Rhinolophus ferrumequinum: one gene and its partner. The protein of the gene in region 2 interacts with the protein of the main gene of each other region in a pairwise test. Links are inferred from orthologs where the notes say so. Each region holds a gene or a part of one and is shown on either strand. Other genes may lie near its edges.

Region 1 (10,360 bases), on a different chromosome or scaffold from region 2:
CTCAATTCCAGGCACCAGAACCCCAAGACTCTTGAAATAGGGAAGGAAAGAGGGGACAGGAAGAGGAGGCCTTTGTGGGCTGTGTCCCTGCTGGGGTCTCTGGGCCAGTGGGGCCTCAGTGGTCACTGTCTTCCTTGCCCCTGTGTGCCCATGAGTAGTCCAAAGCCCTGGCAGTACGGGACAAGGGGACAGGACGCCCCCCCCATTCCCCAGCTCCCGGCCTTGCATTTGAGGAATAAGCTGCTTTATCAGAGACTTCAACAGCCCTGCTCCTGCTTCCTCAGGAAGCGCCGCCCCCCCCACCCCCCCCCACAACCAGCTAGCGTGATGGATTGCTTGTTTCCCTGTGTGGGGGCCCCACAGCCCCATTTCCTGTGCTGGCCCCAGCATGGGGCGGGGAGGGTGCTGAGACTCTGGGCTCAGATCCCACCTTCCACCCCCACCCCCTGGCTTCTGCTTCCTGCCTCTAGTCCAGCTCCTTCTCTAGGAAAGGGGCCGTCAGCTCTGGTAACTGGGATAGGGGTAGGGTGTGTGTGTGGGAAGCTTCTCACTCCTCCCCCGCGCCCCCCACCACAGTTCCAGGACCTGAAGTGGACCTGTTGGGACCGCCTGAAGGTGCCTGCTGAGCAGCCAGAGAGGACCCTGAAGTCACTCCTGGCCTATCTCCAGGTGTGCCCCGTTCCTCCCGATCCCTGATCCCCACCTGGCCCAACCTGGCCCAGCTGTCACCTGACCTGTCTCTCTCTAGGAACAATATGGGTTGAAGGTGAAGATGCTGCTGCAAGGCACCGCCCTGCTCTACTCGGCAGGATGGCCATCTGAAAAGCAGGCCGCGCGCCTGCCCCTCAGGTGAGCCCGCACCTGGCTTTAGCCAGGCCTTGTTCTGTCCCTGGCCATTCGAAGTGGGGGACACAAAGCCTTTCCTCTTTCCAACCCCATTTGGGCCCCTCACACCTTCCTGAAGCTTTCTTTTGCCAAATGGAGCCAGCAAATGGGCTGGGGGTGGGGTGAGGGCCCAGAGCCTGAGGAGGGGCCTCCAGGAGCTGCCTGCTTGGCCAGCCCCAGCAGCGACTCCACACCCAGCTGAGCCCCCTTTCATAGCCCACTCCCAGGGGACTCGCAGCTTCCTGCCTCCTGCCTGCTCTGCCAGCCGCTCCGAAAATAGTTTCAGATGTTTCCTGTCTTGAGCTGCTCCTGCTCCTGACTCAGGCTCCTTGTGGCGTATCAGCACCTTCTAGCCCATGCCAGGGCACTCTCTGACTGGCACTGCTCACCTACCCAGTCTCCCCCAACCCCTTCCCCTCCTCCTCCCTCCAGGGTGACGGAACTGGTGAGGCAGGTGGCAGGCTGGGTGCCTGAGCCTGGGCAGCGGGTGCTGGTACTGGAGCTCAGCTGTGAAGGTGAGGACGACGACACTGCCTTCCCACCCGTGCACTATGAGCTGTGACACGGCAGCAACCCTACCACAGCAGTCAAGCGCTGCATCCTGAGCCCACAGTAGGCGCCCAATAAATGCTTATTGAAGAAAGGCGTTAAGTGGAGAGGAGGGGTGATGAAACACAGGGCAGTGACGCACATGGGCTGTGACAAGGGCACACAGGGACCCCTGGAGGGAGGGAAAAGGCTCTTTAGATTAACCTGCCTGAGCTGTGCCTCGTAGCCTAGGGCTGCCTCCAGGAGACTCAGGCATACGGAACCAGGACAGTGCAGAGAAAGGTCTTTATTGTCCCAGGCTGGAGGGCAGGGTCAGAGGTAGCTGACAACATCATTGCAGATGATGGGCTGGCGGCTGCGGCAGCTCATGAGGGCTGCAAAGCGTGATACGTCTGCAGGCAGTTCGGGTTCCGGGCGAGGTGGGCATGACAGTCGCTTTCCTGCCATAGTTGCCCGGCGGGCCCTGGCCAGCTGGCGCCGCAGCTGCTCAGAGAGGCCAAGCAGGAACTGGGGGGGGCGAGCACGGGCACGGGGCCCACCCCCGTTGTCTCCCTCACCTGCTGCCTCAGGCAGCTCCATCCAGTTGTGCACCAAGTCAGCAAAGCAATTGTCCCCCAGCACCAGGGGCTGGCGACTGCGACCTCTGCTCAGCAGGGCTGCTGTCCAGTCCTCAGTTTCCAGCCCCCGCCAGTGCTCCAGGCAGGCATCTGGGGTGGACTTGGGCCGTGGCCGCTGAGCAGGTGGTGCACTGGTCACTGGGGTCCCGCTGGATAGGGGGATGCCACTGGCTGAGAGGCGCTGTCTGTGGGGTCGCCATACTGGGGGTGCTGGATGCCGCAATACAGGTAGCTCCTCCTCTCTCCAAGTGCTGCCTGACACCTCAGAGAAGCCCGAGTCCCAGTCCAGGGCATGCTCTTTGGGGCCTCCTAAAGCTACACCCCTGTCTCTTGTCACCACACCTTCTTCCTCCTCTTCCTCCACACAGCAGACGGAGTCCTCTTCCAAGGTATCTGAGGGCCTGAGCCGGTGGCTGAGCCGGACACCTGGGCCAGGTTTGTGGGGTGGCTGAAGGGGGCCAGGCATTGGGGGTGATCCTGTGTCCCGGCCACACAGCTGTGGAAGAAGAGAGGGCAGAAGTCGGAGGGGCAGGCTTGTCATCCCTGCCTGCCTGGCCAGGCCCATCCTAGAACTGAAGGCCCAGGAGGACTGGACAGGCCTGCAGGCCTGGGCAGCAAGGCCTCTAGTGGGCACAGGGCATGGGGGTGCTGGCACACGAAGCTCGTGTGGCTCCCACAAGTCGACCTGGTGGCAGTCCGGCAGGCTGCAGCACGCAGAGCCAGGCAAGTCGGCACCCGCCACCAGGGCGGGAGGCAGGGTTGCGGGCCTGCATCGGGAAGTAGGTCCTGCTCAGGGCTGGGGGGAGGGGGGCATCCCGGGCCTCTTGAGAGATTCAGCTCCCCAAAGCCCACAGCGTCTTTCCGAGCAGGATAAAGCATTTGCCAGTTGGGAGATAGAGGAAGGAGGTACAGGCCAGCCTGGGATAGGAGGCATCCCCAGCAGCGCCAGCACCTCTTTAGTCCCTCGAAGCCCACTGTTCCACCCGAGAAGAAGTTTCTCTCCCCCACCCCCGCTCCCCAGCTCCCTTCGCTGCCCCGGCAGCACGGCCAGCTGGGCGGTTGTTACTTGATGCCCACTGCAACTCCCAACCGTCCGAAACCCGACGCGGGCCATCTGGGCCATCTGGGCCGCCCCGCCCCCATCCCGCCTTGGAAGAGCACTCCGGACGGCCCCCCCACTCGCGTGTCGTTCGGGCCGGACCGCAGCCGAGCACCCCACCACACGTGTCCTTGCAAGTCACACCGCTCCCAAGGCTCACCAGTTCCCAGCGGAGCTGGCCCAGGAAGCTGTCAAGCCTAGTGCAGTGCATGCCCGCGCCGGAGCTCCCGCCAGCCCTGCCAGTTCCTCTGCTAACTCCAGCGGGAGCCGTGCGGAGGGGGCCGGGCGGGCGGGCCGGCGGCGCCCTCACCCTCTGCCTGTTTCCGCGGCTCCTCGCTCTCCGTAGGTCCCGCCGCCGCCGCCCCAACATCTGGCAGCCGCGCCCCGCCCCTGGAGCCGCAGCCAATGGGGCCCGGGCGGGGCTGAAGTGGCCCCGCCCCTCGGGCCCGGCTGGGTGGGCGATGCCCACGCCCACTACCCACTAAGCTCCAGCTCTGGGAAGGCTGGAGGCAGTTCCACCCGGGACTCCCGGATGCCCCGGGCGGTTGAACTGACTCCGGGCTCACTGCGTGACCCAGAACAAGTCTCTTCCTCGCGGTAGCCTCAGCTTTCGCATTTTTCCTAGGCTAGAACTGCGGTCCCTCCCGCAGGGACCCCGTGGGCGCGCGGGTTCCCCGGCTGTGCCCATGGGGAACTGGCAGAGCACACGCAGTCGTCGGGCCGGCAGTGTAGTGGCCCACTGTGGGCCGGACCCTCTGGATCCGCTCCTGGAGCGGGCCTGGACAATCCCTGGAAGTGATGGGAGGACTCCGGGAGCGCGGGACGTCGCGGCAGCACGGGGCAGGGGCCTCAGCCAAGGCCGAGCCAGCACTCTCTCCGCCCGGCGTCTGGGCCAAGCTGGGCCGGGTCGCCCTCTAGTGGGGAGCGCGCGGTTAGCCGTGATTCCTGCCGCAACACCCGCGTCCTCTCCGCCTGGCATTACGAGCAGACTGAGAGTGCGTGCAGGGGCTTAGGGCGACGCTCTCTGGCGGGAATGGTCGGAGCGTGTTCCCTGAGGCGCTCCATGATTGCAGGCTACGTTCAAGGATACTGTCTCACTGGAGACGGACGAGTCAGTAGACAGAAAAACACCAGGGAATGAGGGCGACCAGCTAGCTTGGAAGAGAGGGCACTTAGAGGAGGTGGCATTCTGTATGGGATCTGGATGAGCCATCATGGGGAGATCAAGAAGGGACATTCTAGGCAGAGGGATCAGCCAGTTAAAGGCCCTGAGAGTCCAGGAGGAGAACAGGGCTTAACGTAAAGAGGTCCACGGGGTCTATGATGGTAGGCGTTGCAGAAGTGAAAAAGTCAGCAAAACCAGAAGCCTAGCAGCTTTAGAAAGGAATACATCTGGGGTTTTGTTCTTGGTGTGATGGGGAGCATTGAGGGCTATTGAGCAGGGAATAACCTGGGCTGGCTCCTGTTTAGATAATCCCAGCTACTTTGGGAGAACCACTCTGTAATCAAGGTGGAGACTCCTGCCCTCATCCATCAAGGGAGGGTAGGGCCTGGGCCTGGGTGGGGCTGGTGCACAGAAGGGGGTCACTTTGGGGTATGTTTTGGAGATAAAAACAAGCCTTGCTGATGCGTGAATATGAGTAGGGAAAGAGAGCATCAAGCATGACTCCTAGATTTCTGGCCTGAACATCTAGTTGGATGGGATTGTCATGAACTGAATCAGGAAAGATTGGAGAAGAGTGGGTTTGGGGAGGAAAATCAAATGATCATTTGTGGACATGTGACCCTGGAGATGCCTGTCAGACCTCCAAGAGGAGATGCAAGGGCAGCCACTGGGTGTGTGCCTCTGGAGTTTGGCAGAGAGATCAGCACTGAAGCTTTACATCTGGGAGGCAGGAGGAGTGGATGGTACGTAAAGCCACGTGCCTGGATGTGATGGGAGAGGTGAGTTTAGACAGGGGACGGCAGCCTGGATTGAGACCTGGAACACCCTGCTGGGTGGGGGTACGAAAGATGAAGCAGAACCAGCAAAGGAGCTAAGCAGGAGCAGCCAGAGAGGTGGGAGGTAGTAGAGAGTGTGGGCACTTAAGGAGTCACGGGGAACAAGTGTCAAATGCTGCCAAGGAAGTGAGCGTGGAGAATGAACTCTTGAATTCTGCAGTCTGCATATCTCTGTGGACCCTGACAAGGGCAGTTTCATGGAAAGAGGGACAAGCTTGATTGTAGTGAATAGAAGAGAGAGTGAGAGGTAAAGAAATGGAGAGAGCAAATGTAGACAGCTTTTTAAAAACTGACGTATAACATATATACAACGAATGGACAATTCTCAAAGATACAGCTCAATAAATGTTAACATCTGTAGACACTTGGGCAGCTATCACCGAGATCAAAACAGGATATCTCTAGCCTCTCCAGGAGGCCACTTGTGCCCCTTACAATTGATATCACCTAAAATAACTACTATTTGGTTTCTATCACCAAGGATTCCTTTTGCTTGATGAAGGTAAACAACTTTTGAGAGATTTTATTGATCATTCGGCTCAGATTCTGTAGGCAGATAATGTTCTAACAGTGGGCCGGGGGGAGGGGGGGTGCAGCTGGAGTTCAGATTCTGTGGGGTAGCAGGGCCTGGGCCCAATTTTCCTGGGTACTGTCTTGCTCTGTCTCCAAGGACTACATGGCCAAGACTTCCCTGAGCCTTGGTTTCCTCATCTGAAGCTGGTTCTTTTCTCACATCTCCTTCAGGTTTTAGTAATGAATAGGGAAATTTATTGGGAGCAGTGGGAAAAATGGGGCCTCTGGGCGCCTGTCTGGAATCTAGAGCTCAGTCACCAGGGCTGGGTGGGACTGCAGTCTGGGAGGCTCAGGAGTCCTGCCTACCCAGTGTGTTTGACAACCCACCTGGCAACGGGGCGGGCCCAACAAATACGGCTGGCCTTCCAGAGTCTCCTCTACTGTCTATCTCTTGAGGACAGTATGGTACTGAGGCCCCTGGTACTTCTTGCCCTGGTCGTCTCTGGTGAGGAGCTGGTGGGTGGGGAACCCGAGGTTTTACCTCTCTGCTCCACAGAGGAGTGGAGTCCTGACCCTCGTCAGATAATCTACCATGGAGGGCAGGGGCTGGGGGGTGGGAGCCAGGAAAGGGCAAAGATCTGAACCCCTGACCCTCATTCTTTTCTTGGCTGCTTCCTCGACCAAATCCTCACTCCCCGTCTGTGAAATGAGCTGACTCATTGTTGGATGTGGGGGACAAGGAAGGGCTTTGTCTGCTTGGTCCCAAGATGTGGCTAGACTCTGGCAGAAGGGCAGGACTATGCTATTGTGTGTGGTTCCATGAGCTTGGGTGGCCTCCAGCCTTATCGTCTCTTCCTCATAGACCTCTACTGCCTGCCCGCGTCCGTAAATGTCTTTGATAGCCAGGGACCTGGCACCGTTCTTCAGTTTTTCACTTTTAACTGCTCTTCTTACACGCCTACCCTGAAGTTGCTCCGTGTGCAACCACACACCACCTTCTTCAACCCACCCAGCTTGACCAGGTGGCAGGGGATCTATGTGGGCAAGGTAGGGTCATGGACACAGCTGGGAACCATGGAGAAACAAGCTCAGACCCTAAATTCACAAAGCCAGGGGTGGTATGGGCAAGGGAGAGCCTGGGCCCCATATCACTGCCCACCTGCTACAGGTGACCTTGAGCAGCTCGGCCAGGTTGGATGCCCTGGCAGTGAACCATTATGAGCTGCAGCTGCAGTTCACATGTGGCAACTATGTGATGGAGGGACCACTCTCTGTGGATGTGCAGCGGGACGCTGGCCATATTCAGTGTGCTGGCCGATTTGCCAGCCCAGGTGAGCCCAGGGCAGCAGGCAGTGGGTGGGCAGGCATGGCCTGAACAGAGCCTCCCTGACCTTCCCTCTGGCCAGCTGGGGAAATCATTCAGGTGCCGGAAACAGTCACACCTGGGGCCCGGCTGTACACTCTGCTGCTCCCAGGCCTGGAAATCCAGGGAGCCCAGGTGAGCCCAGCACATGGGCAGTGGGGGCAGAATGGGGGAACACAGGGAAACCAAGCCCAGCCCCTGCTTGGCCAAGCGCAGCCTGCAGAGGGACCCTTTAATGTACAGCTGAGCCTCTGCATGATACATGTTCTTGGAGACAGCCACAGAGGGCTCCCATCCCCCAGTGACCATGGCTGTTCTTACAGGAAACTCTTAGGGGCTGAGTTCTTTCAAGTTCTGTGTGTATTGAATTCTCCATGAAAATTCTGTATCACGTTTGTAATCCAAAAAGTAAATGTAGTTTAAAAAACAAAAGAAATAATTTAAAAGCAGAAAGGATTGAGGATCGGGGCCCGGGGACCCCAGGCTAGGGTAAGTGTCAGTGGTGGGGTATGGTATAGTTGGGTGTGGGGAGGTACCTGCTGGACCGTTGGGGATTTTGACAGGGATGCTTGGGGCACTGGGGCTAGGGCTGGGGCCTCCAGCATCTCTGTCCTGTCAGATGAGCATCACCAGTGCCCAGGAGCCTCCGTATTTCCCTGGACCTTTCTCCATCAATGGGCAGGGTTGGCTGCAGGCACCACCCCAGGGCCTCAAAGGCCAGGCTGGAAAGGTGAGCATAACTTGGGATCTGGGTACATCCATGGATCGGGCAGAGCCACCACCTCCTGGAGTTTTGCTTGGTCTCTTTGGCCTCCTCCATATGCTGCCTCTCCCAGACACAGCCCACACCTGCACCTGCTGCCCCATTCTGACTGTCCTCCCACCTTGGTCTGGTTCTGTGGTGGGCTCTGGAGTTCCAGAAAGAAGAGAGATCCCTGGTTTGGGGAGCTCACGGTGCCTTAAATAGAAAGGAGAGAGTTCAGAGCAGGCACACAGGAAGGGAAAGTTCTGGGTAAAGTGTCTAGTGCAGACTGAAGGAGGGAAGTTCCTTCTTGAAAACTTCCATGTCTTGTACCTGACTCTTAGCCACTCGAAGATAAGTCATATTGTGAACGACTCCGATATCACTCTTTTGGGGGCTGTTTGCATCCTAATAGAAGGATTTGTGGCCCAAAAGAATGGGACTCAAAGGAATACCTGTCAGCAGAGTGACAGGTGTTGGGGAGGAGTGAGCAAGCGTTGGGGCTCCTTGTGGTGATCCTGAAGGGATTATCTACTTGAAGGGAAGACTGAGCATAGACATACAGGTAGACAGATGCACACCGGGGTTCCTTTCCTGTTTTGTGCCACCACAGGTCTTCCGGCTTCAGATCCTGGTGACCTTTGGACAAAACCAAAGCTGCGGAGGGATGCTGATGGTGAAAGTTTTGCCTGCCCCCTCCTCCGGCCAGGTGTCCTTCCTGTAAGGCTTCTGTACCCTGGGACAGTGTACTGGGTACAGAAGGAGGCAGGGCCTAGCCCCAGGGAAGTAGAAGTAGGTTAAAGTGGGGCTGCTGGAGCGTCCCAGCTAGCCCGAGTCTGAGGGAAGTCCCAGCGGAGGCCTGAGGACCGGGCGGGGTGGGGTGTACGTGGCGGGGGGGGGGGGGGGGGGGGGGGGGAGGGGGGGAGGGAGGGGCGGAAGGGGGACACGGGATCCGGCAGGAGCCAGTGGCCCCCTTTTGGTTCAGGGAACAGGAACAGAATATCACCATTCCGGAGGACGTGGTTCCTGGGACTAAGGTGGTTCAGGTCCAGGCTCGGGGCTTCGACGTGCGCTACGAAATCCTCTCTCCCGTGCCCTGCCGGCTCTTCTCCATCGGACGCGGTGAGGGGTGTGGAGCGGGGGTACGAGGATGCCTCTGAGGCTGGTTCAGAGGTGACCTGCGCTACCTTCTCGCTATCCTGAGAAACGAGGCTGGAGCCGAGGCAGAAAATGGGTCGAGGTCGCGTTTGAGGGCTGGGCGGGAGTTACAGAGGCGCTTTGGCGGAGGTGACGCGGGGGGCCAGCCAGGCTCAGCGCCCTCCGCAGACAGCGGTTCGGGTGGGCGGGTGGGGACCCAACTGAGCTGGAGGCGGAGCCGAACTCTGCGTCCCCCACCCTCTCACGCCTCCCAGCGGACGGCGTTATCCGGACCACGGCGCCCCTGGAGCTGGCGCCGGCCGCAGGCTCGGCGGTCACCGCGCTGCAGGTGAAGGCCTTCGAGCGGCTCCGGCCGTGGGCCAGCGTTGAGCTCGATCTCACTGTGACCGTGCGACCGGTCAACCGCTGGCCCCCGCGCTGCCTCCCAGCGCTGCTGATGTGAGTACACCCGAGCCTTACCTTGGCCATTGGGAGGACTGACGGCTCGCGGCCGGGCCCGACTCCCACCCTGCCGCCGGCGCTCTGCTCCCAGGGCTCAAATCCCCGAGACCGCGCCTGTAGGTACCGTGCTGAGAACCTTTACTTGCGTTGACCCGGACTCTCCTGGCTCAACCCTTGACTACCAGCTGCGATTCCACAGTCCTCCTGGCCCAGCCAGCCTCTGTCTCAACGACGGGGTCCTGGAGGTGACCCTCCCCCAGACCCACGTGCAGGGTGCTTGGGAGGGGATGGGGGGTGGGCCAAGAGTCTGTGGGAGCTGAGACCATAGGGGTGAAGGAGTGGTGGTGGAGCCTACCTGCTTGGCAGTGCGGAAAACGGGGTCCTGGTAAGCTATCTGTGCATGCCCTGGCTTGAGGCAGCCCAGTGTGGTTCAAAGCTCTCCCAGGCTGAGGCTGGGCCTTATTCTCTGGACCCTGTGGCCAGGTGAATGCCACACTGGACTGTGACACTCGTGGGGACTGCTTTCAGCACACAGCCTCCGTCCTGGTGCTCGATGGTGGGCAGCCCCGGATGACCAGTGAGTGACCATACCCAGGCCTGGACATTCAGGACAGGGCTGTTCTGTACCCCTCTCCCCATCCTCAGGACGGGGGCATCTCTCGTCCTTCAGAAACTGGTAGGGCAGGGCTGTCTCCATTTCAGACCCCTAGGGTGGGGCATATCTCTCCTCTCCTAGACCACGCCCAGCAGGGGAGGGATATTGCCCTACCTTCCTCCAGACCCTCTCCCCAGGGCAGGGACATGTCTCCCTCCTCAGACGCCCAGGGCAGGGCTGGGTACCCCAGGCCAGTTCCTTAATTACCTAATGGCCTCCAGCTGAGGTGCCAGTACTGGTGATGGTGACACCTGTCAACGAGTTCTCCCCAGCCTGTGTCCCACGCACATTCCGGGTTCGGGAAGATGCGGGGCCCTGCACCCTGCTGGGCTCTGTG
Region 2 (11,354 bases):
AAGAAATCCAAAATGTAACCTGTGCTCCATTGTTGAACCCCATTCATTTCCGTTGGGTACTCAGTCTTGCAATTCAAAACTACCAAAAAGAGCTCTGAATGAGAGAGACATTAAGTCACTTCTCACTTAGATTAAACAAGACAAATAAAACAATTCAGCTGGTAATGAAGAATTTTGACTACTGTAAAAGGCAAAGAAACACACCTGGAAACTGTCCTCATATGAAGAGCCATTTGTCTCTTATTTTAACCTCAGAGACAATAGGCAGAATGATGTTTTAAAGCAGAACAGGGCCCACCTAGATATATTCAGAAAGCAATTGCATGAGCAGATTCCTTTGTCCCCAGATAAACATATTTTCTATTTTAAAAGATCAGGATAATAGAATCTACCAATTATTATATCTACCAAATATCTGTTATACATCTGATTTGGGTTCTGTGTTATTGAGAAAAATTGGAGGACTAGTTATAGTAACAAGTAGGGATAGGGACTGATGAGAACCTGGCATATAACAGAAGCTCAATAAATAATGTTATTAATTATTATTACACATAATATTATTATTTATTATTATTAATCTCTAGAAGGCTAAAAGTCTAGTTCACCATTGTCTTCCTAGGGCCTAAAATGGCAAACATAGATGTCCAACAAACATTTCCAAAATATTTGTTGACTGACTGATGTATTTTTGCAAAATGTTCAATTGCTAGAAAATATTTTGACTCAATTCTTAACTGCTTGCATAAAACCAATTCTTAGGATAGGCAGTTTTAAAAGCCAAGAATACTACTCTTTTGAAGTCAGAATGAGATTCTAAATTGCTCTTTTTATACTAGTAAAAAAAACAAAAATTTGCTAAAAACTCAGATCTTTAAATTGGCACATAAAAATGCTATGAGGAAGAGTATTCATTCCTTCACTCATTCGCCAAATATTTATTGAGCATCTACATGCAAAACACAAAATAAATGGCCATCACAGAGCTTATAGACATTAAGTAAATAGGCAAACAAATAAATAGGTAATAAGTGCTATGGATGAAAAGTAGAAGGGTAATGAAAGATTTGTTATGGGGAAGGGAAATCAAAGAGGCCCAAAGGATGAATACAGCTTGGACTGGCAAAGTATAGGGGGAAGTGGCTGGAATATTCAAGAAAGAGACAGGAAATTCAAGAAACACACTGATATTCAAGAAACACACTGTCACACTGATCAGTGTGACAGCAGCCAAGAGGAAGAGGTGCCCGAGACCGAGGCAGACCAAGTACCCAAGGCTATGAGAGTCTGGGGAATGTCTCCCAAGCATGTGGATACATTTTATGCAGGGATTGACATGATCCTATCTTTTCTGGATGAAGGATTGGAGGGACCAAGCAAGCAAACAGGGGCCTTTTTAGAAAATTACACTAATAATCCAGGTGAGAGATGACGATTTAAAGTTTGATGGTGGGGATGGAAAGAAGAATCTATCAAGATATATTTAGCAATATAAGTAGAAGACGAATTTATAAGATTTTGTCACAGTTTTAGATGTAGAAGGCAAAGGAAATCTCCGAAGTTATCAAAGATGATTCTTAAATTTCTTGCTAAAACAACTCTAAGGATAGTGGTGCCATTTACCAGGATAAGAAAGCTTAGAAAGATGTTAAGATTGGGGCGTTTTTGTTGCTGTTGCCATTTTTGTTTAATTTGGTTTTCTGTCGTTTGTTTGTATTCTATTGGTAGGGTAGCAAAAAGGAGACAACATTAACAAATCCATTTGAGACAGGGTATGTCAGCTATATTACCTGAACTACACTGAGATCCTAGATTGTCTGGGTTTCCAGATAAGTGACAGTTGTATAAATGAGGTATGCTTGAATGCTATTCTTCCCTACCATGGTTGGGTAAATAAAACCTGAAATAGGTTAGCTGGATTAAATAACCTTTAAAGTATTTTTTTGAACTGATACTACTTCTACCTTCTGCATGTGTGCTGACATAATATTAGTGTTGTCATTAAACACGATCATAGGGATGTAGGCGTACTGCACTGAATAGTGTTCCCCCTCAACCCCAAATTTACATCCAACCAGAACCTACAAATATGACTTCATTTGGAAATAAGGTCTTTGCAGATGTAACAAGTTAAGATGAGGTCATACTGAATTAGGGTAGGCCCTAATCCAATATGAATGATGTCCCTCCCTATAAGGGGGAACTTTGCCACATGAAGATACCCTGTTTCCCTGAAAATAAGACCTAGCCGGACCATCAGCTCTGATGCGTCTTTTGGAGCAAAAATTAATATAAGACCCGGTATTATATTATATTATATTATATTATATTATATCATATTATATTATATTATATAAGACTGGGTCTTATTTTACTATAATGCAAGACCTGATGGTCCGGCTAGGTCTTATTTTCGGGAAACAGTAGATGAAAGCAGAGACTGCGGTTCTGCTATCACAAGTCAAGGAACACCAGCAGCTACCAGAAGCTTGAAGAGGCAAGAAAGGATCCTCCCTTAGAGGCTTCAGAGGGAGCTTGGCCCTGTCCATACCTTGATTTTGGACTTCTAGCCTCCAGATCCGTGAGAGAATGAATTCCTGTTGTTTTCAGCAACCTAGTTTTTGGTAATTTGTTATCACAGCCTTAGCAAACTAATAGAGTTGGAACATTAAGGAGATCACATATTTGAATCTGACTAGCATAAAACAGGGCACACAGTACAGGATAAACATCCATTTCCCTTTCTCTTATAACGGTCACCACCAATTTCTTAATAGTTCATATTATGAGTAATCTACACAGCTACCCATTTAGGTAGGTCTTACGTACCTAAAGTCTTTCTAGACTTGTTTTACAGGTGAGGAAACTGAGGCTTGGGAAAGTTAAATAACTTGCCCAAGATCACAAAGCTAAAATCAGGAGAGTCTAAGCTCAAACTCAGGTCTGTCTCATCACCAAGATGATACCAAAACCTAGAACTCCCGCTTCTCACACTTGCAGCATTTTAGCAAACTGACAAAGTGGAGGGGATGCACTGCCAAATGTGTTTTCAATGCCTGCAATTAAAACTCACATTTATTTACAAAATAACAAATTACAGGGACCTAATACAATCAACACATTCACACAGGAATAGAAAATTTTTATTCTAAGCCCATCAACTTCTATTGCTTCCATTAGCTGTGCTTCTGCTTTGCACATATGTATTCCAAGTCAAGATACTATCAGATTGGACATTTATGACTTTAATTTACTTAAATGCATTTTCTTCAAGCATTTCCCATTTCATTTTGATGATACTGACTAATTTTTGCTACCTAAGGAGACCATAAAGTAAAGACTGTATGTACAGAGGGAAGTGTCTAAACTTTGTAGTCGCAGATGTCCATTCTTTAAATTATAAAGCAAAAAATAAAAGCATATTCTAAATTTACCTTCCCTTCCTAACCGAGTGAGTTGTGCTGCTGAATATAACAGATATACAAATATAAGGTGACAGAAATGTTATTATGGGGTGTCAATTTCATAGAATTGTAGTAACATCTAGTACATTTGGACTCGGGTAAGAAAGAGTGTTAACATGCTACCAGACCCCAAAAGAGCAAAGGATGTGGTGAGGGGTTCCTGAGTTAGTTACCTAAGACATACTTCTTGACAGAACTCTGTGGAATGCCAGGTTTCCTGATTTCCCCCAAAGTGCATTCAGCTTTCTAAGCTGTCATCAACTATTAAGGAGGACACTTACCTCTGGCTTTGTGCCAACTTTTTTTCTTTATTAATTTGGCCTTAAAAAGCCCACAACAGATAGCCCCAATGCTTCCAATTCCCTTAATTGATATCTAATGTTGAATTAACTTGTGTCCCATGTTTAAAGCTCCAAATATACAAACATGGGTTCAAGAAGGGCTAACACGCTTCTCCAAACTGGGCTCTCATCTCTGGACTGTTCAAGTTTGCCCTACGGGAGGCCGACATAACACTGAATTTTGACAAGAGTTTGGAACCTAGATCCTTTTCCACGCTCTGCCCACACCTGTGCCCATGAGCAGAAGTTCTCTCTCCATTAAAACCTACCACGCACCCATACGCGCGCGCACACACACACCAAGGCAAGTAACAAAGGAAAACACAGCCCCAAAGGGACTCAGCTATTGCATCTTCCAGTCTATACCTGCCAAGAGACAAAAACCGTACGGGAATCCTGCCCTGGCAATATGTCCAACACTCCTCAGGAGATGCAGGCACCGTGACACCCCCGGGCGTGTGCGGCTGTTATACACAAAGAACTGGTGCTGGGCTTGCTAGCGGTCTGGGGGGACCAACGCACTCCCAATACTGGTATCCGGCGTTCTCCCCCACGCCCTCCCACCCAGCATAAAGGAACTATCCTTTATTTGACCGGTGGAGAGAGCCAAGGCTGGATGGTAGCGCATGGGTGGGTGTGTGGGAGGGAGGCGCGGGGCGGTCCCCGGATCCCTTCCTTCCAGGCAGCCGGTCCCCAGCCTTTGACATCTCCTAGGAGATGCACAATTGCGCGCTGTCACAGATGTCCGCTTCGCATCCTTTCCGGGCAAAGGAAGATGCCCCGGGTCCCAGCCGTGCGCATCCTCGCAAGCGCCCCTCCCCGTGCCCACATCCACCCAGGCAGCCCCGCCAGGCGCGCCTGCCTACCTGGTGGCTGGCTGTCAGCGAGACGGCGGTGCCTCATCCCCTTCGCCGCCTCGGCTGCTACATCGCTAGGAGCGCCATGTTCCCGGTCTCCCCGGGCGCACGCCGGGCAACTACTACGGTCTGGGTAGGGGCAAGGGGGCGGGGGCCGGCGGGAGGGGGTGGGAGGCGCAGCCAAAGCTTTCTACTCTCCACCCAAGCCTCCCCCAGCTACTGAGCATGCCCAGCTCCCCAGCGTCGCCCCTAGGAGGACTTTCCGTGATCACACGCAGCTGTTCCGGGTTTTCGTGGCAACCGGCGGCAAGCCGGCGGTAGCAGCTGCTGGGGGTGAGAGTAGAGAGGTGTCGGGGGAGGGTCGGGGGAGTGTCTACACTCCGCTGAGCCCCGAGCTGGAGAAAGCTGCCTTTTCCTCATCCAGTCACACTTATCCTCTATCCTCCCAGGCGAGGGCAGCTCCTGCAAGCCTCCTCCCCACACACTCCGGTTTTGCAGAAATTTTGTGCAGGACCAATGCAGGGCTGAGATTTGCTTAAGAGGCGAGCCAAGAGTAGGAGGGGCGGGGCTGGGAGACAGATCCTTCCGCTAGCCTCATGGCTACCACCTGGACACAAGCTTCTCAAACTTCAATGTGCCTGTGAATTAACATGTGGATTCAAATTCAGTTGGTCTGGCCGGGGGCCTGAGATTCTACTAGCTAAACATGCTCCCAGGTGATGTGATGCTGCATGCAGGTCCTGCCACCACACTTGAGTAGCAAGGATCTAGAGAACCCCACTCTTACCTCCTGGTCCAGAAATGGTCTCTGGTGTCCACAAGTAGTGTGGCCGCTAAGTGAAGGTACCCCCGGGGGTTGCTGTGCCGCCTTGGCAGGAATCTCAGTAGGGCTGAGCTCCACAAGCAGCCTAAACTGGCTACTTTCTGACAGAATTTGTGGCCTAGAGGAAAATATGTGCCTTGATCTCTTTGCTCACTTTGCTAGGGGATAGCAAACTAGTTGTTAGTTGAGCCTCTAAAGTCGGAACTAGTCTGCCTTGGCTGTTCCCCTGCCTTTCCTGAACTGAGACAAAAACTCAGACGCTGCATCAGTGTCAATTTATTATACATGTAAGGGTAAGACTGGACTTGTCCATTTAAGAAGACTGATAAGAGTAGAGTGTTTATGTACCAAGAGTTGACCGAGCTTTCTGATGAGTGATGTTTGAACTGAAGCTTGCAGAGATAACTTGTGATTCATCTTAAACCCCTTTGTTGCCCCCTCCCTTCCCAACCCTCAAAGGCTCCAGCATTGTCAAGAGTATTCACTATCCACACCACAGTGAGAGACAGAGATTCACAAAACCAGTCATGAGTTTTGGAAACGAAGAAGTCTATCTCCAGATGCCCTAACAGTACCCTCATGAGTCAGTGACATAGTATCTGACCCCATAACTGGATAGCAGATTATAAATAAGAGTTTGTATATATTGGTACTCTATTATACTCAACAACTCTAAACAATTTTCTAGTTAATAGTATCATATATGTCACTTCCTTCTTGCTTGTCTTCCATTCACTCAATACCCTCAGTGTAGTAGCTGCCACATGAAAACAGGAACCATATGATAAATGTATGCTTACTTTTCTCCCTCAATATTTCTCTGTATAAAGGATAAATATGTCCTGGTACATTGTACTCTGTTTTTATGTTTAAATGAATAAGAATCTCTAAATCCATTTCTTATTCTTTAAGCAACTCACACCGCCCTAACTACCAACCCACCACCCACACTTTTATTTGCATAAATATTTTCTATATTTGACTTTCTTTTATGTGTGCTGGCACAGATGCAAAAGCTCCAAAATATTTTATAGAAGTGTTGTTTATTTGTGATTGATTGGTATCAATTAAAATTTGGCTTTGTATTACTGAGCTTTAATCACTTAAAACAACTTTGCTATTATAGATAAAGCTTGCGCTTGTGTGGTTATTTTTACTGGTTAAATACTGTGATTATTGTTAGTTTCCTCAAATTCATTTAGGAGTTATACAAGGTAAACATAAACGAGTAATGGTACTATTTCTGTAAATATTACACTGCATTAAGTCCGAGGTGTTTTCTTTTTATATAACGCAATTTCTTGAGAATTTAGCAGGCAAGATGTTGATTAAGGACCAACACCTGTGGGTGTGAGATACAGGAAACAAGTGGGCAGTGGTAGAAGTCAATCTATGATGCAGGCCAATGACAGTATTGGCCACCAGCACTCCAGGAAGCTCTGGAGCTAGGATGACCCTTCAGAATTGTCCCAAGTTAGTTTGAGTTGTCTGGTCCTTTTTATACTAACAGTAATCATTGAGTGTGAAATATCTTGGAAAGGGCACGAACTTGAGGCAGCTCTCTGAAGCTGAGGCAATCTCTGAAGAAGAGAACAGCTAAAGGCCTTCCCTCAGCAGTAGTCCCTGAAGCTGGGGTAACAGGTCCTTCACTTAAGGGGGATCTGCATAATACATTACTTAGTCCACATAATACATTTATTGAATATATCATTTTTGAATACACAAAGTAGACGGATTTATCCAGAGATTTAAAAGTTGGAAAATAAAATAACCTTTAATCAGCCATTGGGAGTTCTTAGAGAAGTCATTGAGAGAATGTGACCACCGGTTGACCCATGAGCTGGAACTGGGCAATCAGAGGCTCCTCATCCCTCCCATGTCCTTGGAATGTACTCTCTGCCCTCTGTTCCCACAGTAGGAACTGGCTTCAAGGATATGACCTTGATAGAGTAATGTATTGTTGAGACCATCTGGAGAGTATACAAGACTGAACCCAGTTAAGGCCTCTATATAAACTTTTAAGATTCTAGAGAATGGGTACAGAGATTTACTCATCTTGCAGCCCAAGACAAGCCTCCTCGTAAGTTTCCTTGCTTATTAAAATTGCCACCTATCAATCTGCCTCTTTCTTAGTTCTCCTTGCCCTCTCTATATGGGGGCCAGTATCAGATTTCCCCTGGAACCTCCTGAGTTTGCTTCTTTTACACTATCTCCCCTAGAAAATAGAAGAGGAGGATGTACTTCCTAACTTATTTTATGAGGCCAGTATCACCCTGATACTAAAATTAAATAAGCACAGTAGGGGGGAAACAAAACTACAGACAACTATGTCTTTTGAACTTTAATGCAAAAATCCTCAAAAAAATTACCAAACCAAATGTTACAATGTACAGAAAGAATTGCGTATGATGATCAGGAATGTAGGGCTGGTTTAACATTTAAAAAATTAGTTAATATAATCCACCATACGAACAAACTGAGAAAGAAAAATATGATTATATCAATTGATACAGAAAAAATATATGACAACTCTAACATGCATTCACGATTAAAAACTCTCAGCAAGTTAGGAATAGGGAAGAATTACCTCAACTTTATTTAAACTGACTACAAAAAAAAAAAACACCTAGCTAACATCAAACTTAGTGGTGAAAGACTGACTGCTTTTCCTTTAAGATGTGGAACAAGGCTAACATGTCTGTTTCCACCATCTTGTTCAACATAGTAGTGGAAATTCTAGCCACTACAATGAGACAAGAAAAACAAGTAAAAGCCATTGGATTGGAAAGGAATAAATAAAACTGTCTCTATTTGCAGATGACACGATTATCTACATAGAAAATGAAAAAAAAAAAAAAAGTCTACAAAAATAACTCCTAAAACTAACAAGTGAGATCAGCAAACTTGCAGGATACAACATATACACACAAAAGTCAACTTTATTTTGCTATACATGCAGAAAATAAAATTTAAAACACAATGCCACTCACATTTGCTCCAAACAAAATGAAATACTTAGGTATACACATAAAACATGTATGGGATCTGTATGCTAAAAATTACAAGATACCAATGAAACAAATCAAAGAAGACCTGAATAAATGGTGAAACATACTGTGTTCATGAATTAGAAGATTTAGTATAGTAAAGATAGCAATTTCACCAAAATTTATCTAAATGTTTACTTAAATTCCTATAAAAATTTCAGTGTGATTTTGTATAATTGTCAACTTTATTCTAGTATTTATATGGAAAGACATGGGCTCTAGTATAGCTAATCAACTTGACAAAGAAGAATAAGATGGGAAGAACCACTTTTTCTAATATTAAGGCTTTACAGTTATCAAGACAGTGTGATATTTGCAGAGGGATAGACATGTAGATCAATGAAACAAAACAAAGAACCTAGAAATAGACTCACAAATGTGACCAACTCATTGTTGACAAAGGTGCAAAAAGCAATTCAATGGACAAAGAATAGCTTTTTCAACAAATGGTGCTGGAACAACTAGATATTCGTAGGCAAAAAATGAACCTCCCCACAACTAACATCATACTCAGTGGTGAAAGACTGAAATCTTTCCCTCTAAGATCAGGAGGAACAGGCAAGGCTGACCACTTTTGCCACTCCTACCTACATAGTACTGAGAGTTCTAGTGAGAACAATTAAACAACAAAAAGAAATAAAAGACATAAAAATTGGAAAGGCGGAAGTAAAATTACTTCTGTTTGCAGAAAATATGATCTTGTACGTAGAAAACCCAAAAGATTCCATACCAAAAAAAAGTCAGCATAGATGAATTCAACAAAGTTGCAGGTACAAAATTAGCACACAAAAATCAGTTGCATTTCTATACACTAACAATGAAAAATCCAAAAAGGAAATTAGGAAATAATTTCATTTTCAATAGTATAAAAAACAATAAAATACTTAGGAATTCATATAATCAAAGAAGTGAAAGATTTGTGCACTGAAAACTATAGAATGTTGTTAAAGAAATTAAAGACATATATAAATGAAAAGGCATAACATACATGTTCATGGATTAGAAGACTTAATATTGTTAAGATGTCAGTACTACCAAACGCAATCCCTAGAAAAATCTCAATGATGTTTTGTGCAGAAATAGAAAAAAATCTATCTTAAAATTCATATGTAATCTCAAAGGACCCAAATAGCCAAAACAATCTTGAAAAAGAACAAAGCTGGAGGACTCATACTTCCTGATTTCAAAACTTACTAGAAAGCTACAGTAATCAAAACAGTGTGGCACAGGCATAAAGATAGACATAAAGACCAATGGAATAAAATAGAAAGCCCAGCAATAAATCCTCACATATATGGTCAAATGATTATTGACAAGGGTGCCAAGACCATTTAATGGGGAATGAACAACTTTTTCAGCAAATGATGTTGGGAAAACTGGATGTCCATGTAAAAAAGAATGAAGTTGGACATTTAGCTTATACCATATACAGAAATTAACTTAAAATGTATTTTAAAAATCTGAACATAAGAGTTAAAACTAGAAAACATAGGGAAAAATCATCATGACATTAGATATAGCAATGATTTCCTGTATATGACATGAACAGCACAGAAATCAAAAGAAAAATTAGATAAACTGAACTACATCAAAATGAAAATCTTCTGTGGAAAGGATGCAATCAATAGGGTGAAAGGGTAATCCACAGAATGGGAGAAAATATTTGCAAACTATATATTTGATGAGACTAATGTCCAGAGTATTAAAGAACTCCTAAAACTCAATAAAAACAACAACAAAACCCAATTTAAAAATGACCAAAGCACTTGAATAAACATTTGTCCAAAGAAGATATACAGATGACCGATGAGCACATGAAAAGATGGTCAATATCAGTAGTCAGGGAAATGCAAATCAGAACCACAGTGAGAAGCCACCTCATACCCACTGGGATGGTGATACACATATTAAAAAAAAAAAAAAAAGAAAAGAAATGTTGGCAAGACTGTGGAGAAATTGGAACCCTTGTGCATTGCGAATGCAAAATGATATAGCCACTATGAAAAATAGTATGGCTATTCTTCAAAAATTTAAACAGAATTAACATATGATCCAACAATTCTACATCTGGGTATATATCCAAAAGAATTGAAAGCAGGGACTTAAACTTTTACACCAATAATCACAGCAGCTTTGTTTACAATAGTCAAAAGGTGGAAACAACCCAAATGTTCACTGACAGATGAATGGATAAAACAAAATATACATACAATAGAATATTATCTAGCCTTGAAAAGCAATGAAATTCTGATACAGGTTATTAGGTTGGTGCAAAAGTAATTGCGGTTTAAAAGGTTAAAAATAATTGCAAAACCATAATTACTTTTGTGCCAGCCCATAATACAGTATAGATGAACTTCGAAGACACTGTGCTAAGTGAAGTAAGCCAAACACAAAAGGACAAAATATTGTGTGGTTCCACTTATATAAGGCATATAGAATAGGCCAATTTATAGAGATGGAAAGTAGAATAGTGTTTACCAGAGGTAGAGGGAAGTGTCAGGGAGAAGGAATTACTGTTTAATGGCTACAGTTTCAATTTCGGACAAGAAAAAAGTTCTCGAAATGGATAGTGGTTATGGTTGCAAAAACAAGATGAGTGTTACAAAAATTAACTAAAAGTAGATCATGGACCTAAATATAAAAGTATAAAAATCCTAGAAAAAACATAGGAGAAAATCTTCAGAATCTAGGTCTGGCAAAGAGTTCTTAGACTTGAAGCTGAAACCATAGTCTATAATAAAAGGAAAGACTGGTAAGTTAAACCCCATTAAAATTAAAAATGTATTGTCTGGTAAAGCCCACATGAAGAGGATAAACAG

The links. The genes of interacting proteins can lie anywhere in the genome.
Region 1: the proteins of PAK5 (region 2) and INKA1 interact in binary tests that used the Homo sapiens proteins (3 or more experiments, as listed by UniProt). The two-hybrid records come from large-scale screens. The link is inferred for Rhinolophus ferrumequinum from reciprocal best matches to the Homo sapiens genes PAK5 and INKA1.

The regions. Positions count from the first base shown.
Region 1 is NC_046300.1:6,671,307-6,681,666, forward strand, and holds INKA1 (PAK4-inhibitor INKA1), read right to left. Parts: upstream 3,508-10,360; 5' UTR 3,362-3,507; coding exon 3,311-3,361; intron 2,548-3,310; coding exon 1,747-2,547; 3' UTR 1,713-1,746; downstream 1-1,712. Other genes in the region: UBA7 (ubiquitin-like modifier-activating enzyme 7), read left to right, coding at 577-669, 749-849, 1,318-1,447; CDHR4 (cadherin-related family member 4), read left to right, coding at 6,127-6,169, 6,527-6,711, 6,833-6,995, 7,071-7,162, 7,647-7,757, 8,383-8,489, 8,755-8,891, 9,182-9,365 and 3 more. UniProt on the Homo sapiens protein: Inhibitor of the serine/threonine-protein kinase PAK4. Acts by binding PAK4 in a substrate-like manner, inhibiting the protein kinase activity.
Region 2 is NC_046306.1:30,611,865-30,623,218, forward strand, and holds the start of PAK5 (serine/threonine-protein kinase PAK 5), read right to left. Parts: upstream 5,081-11,354; 5' UTR 4,672-5,080; intron 1-4,671.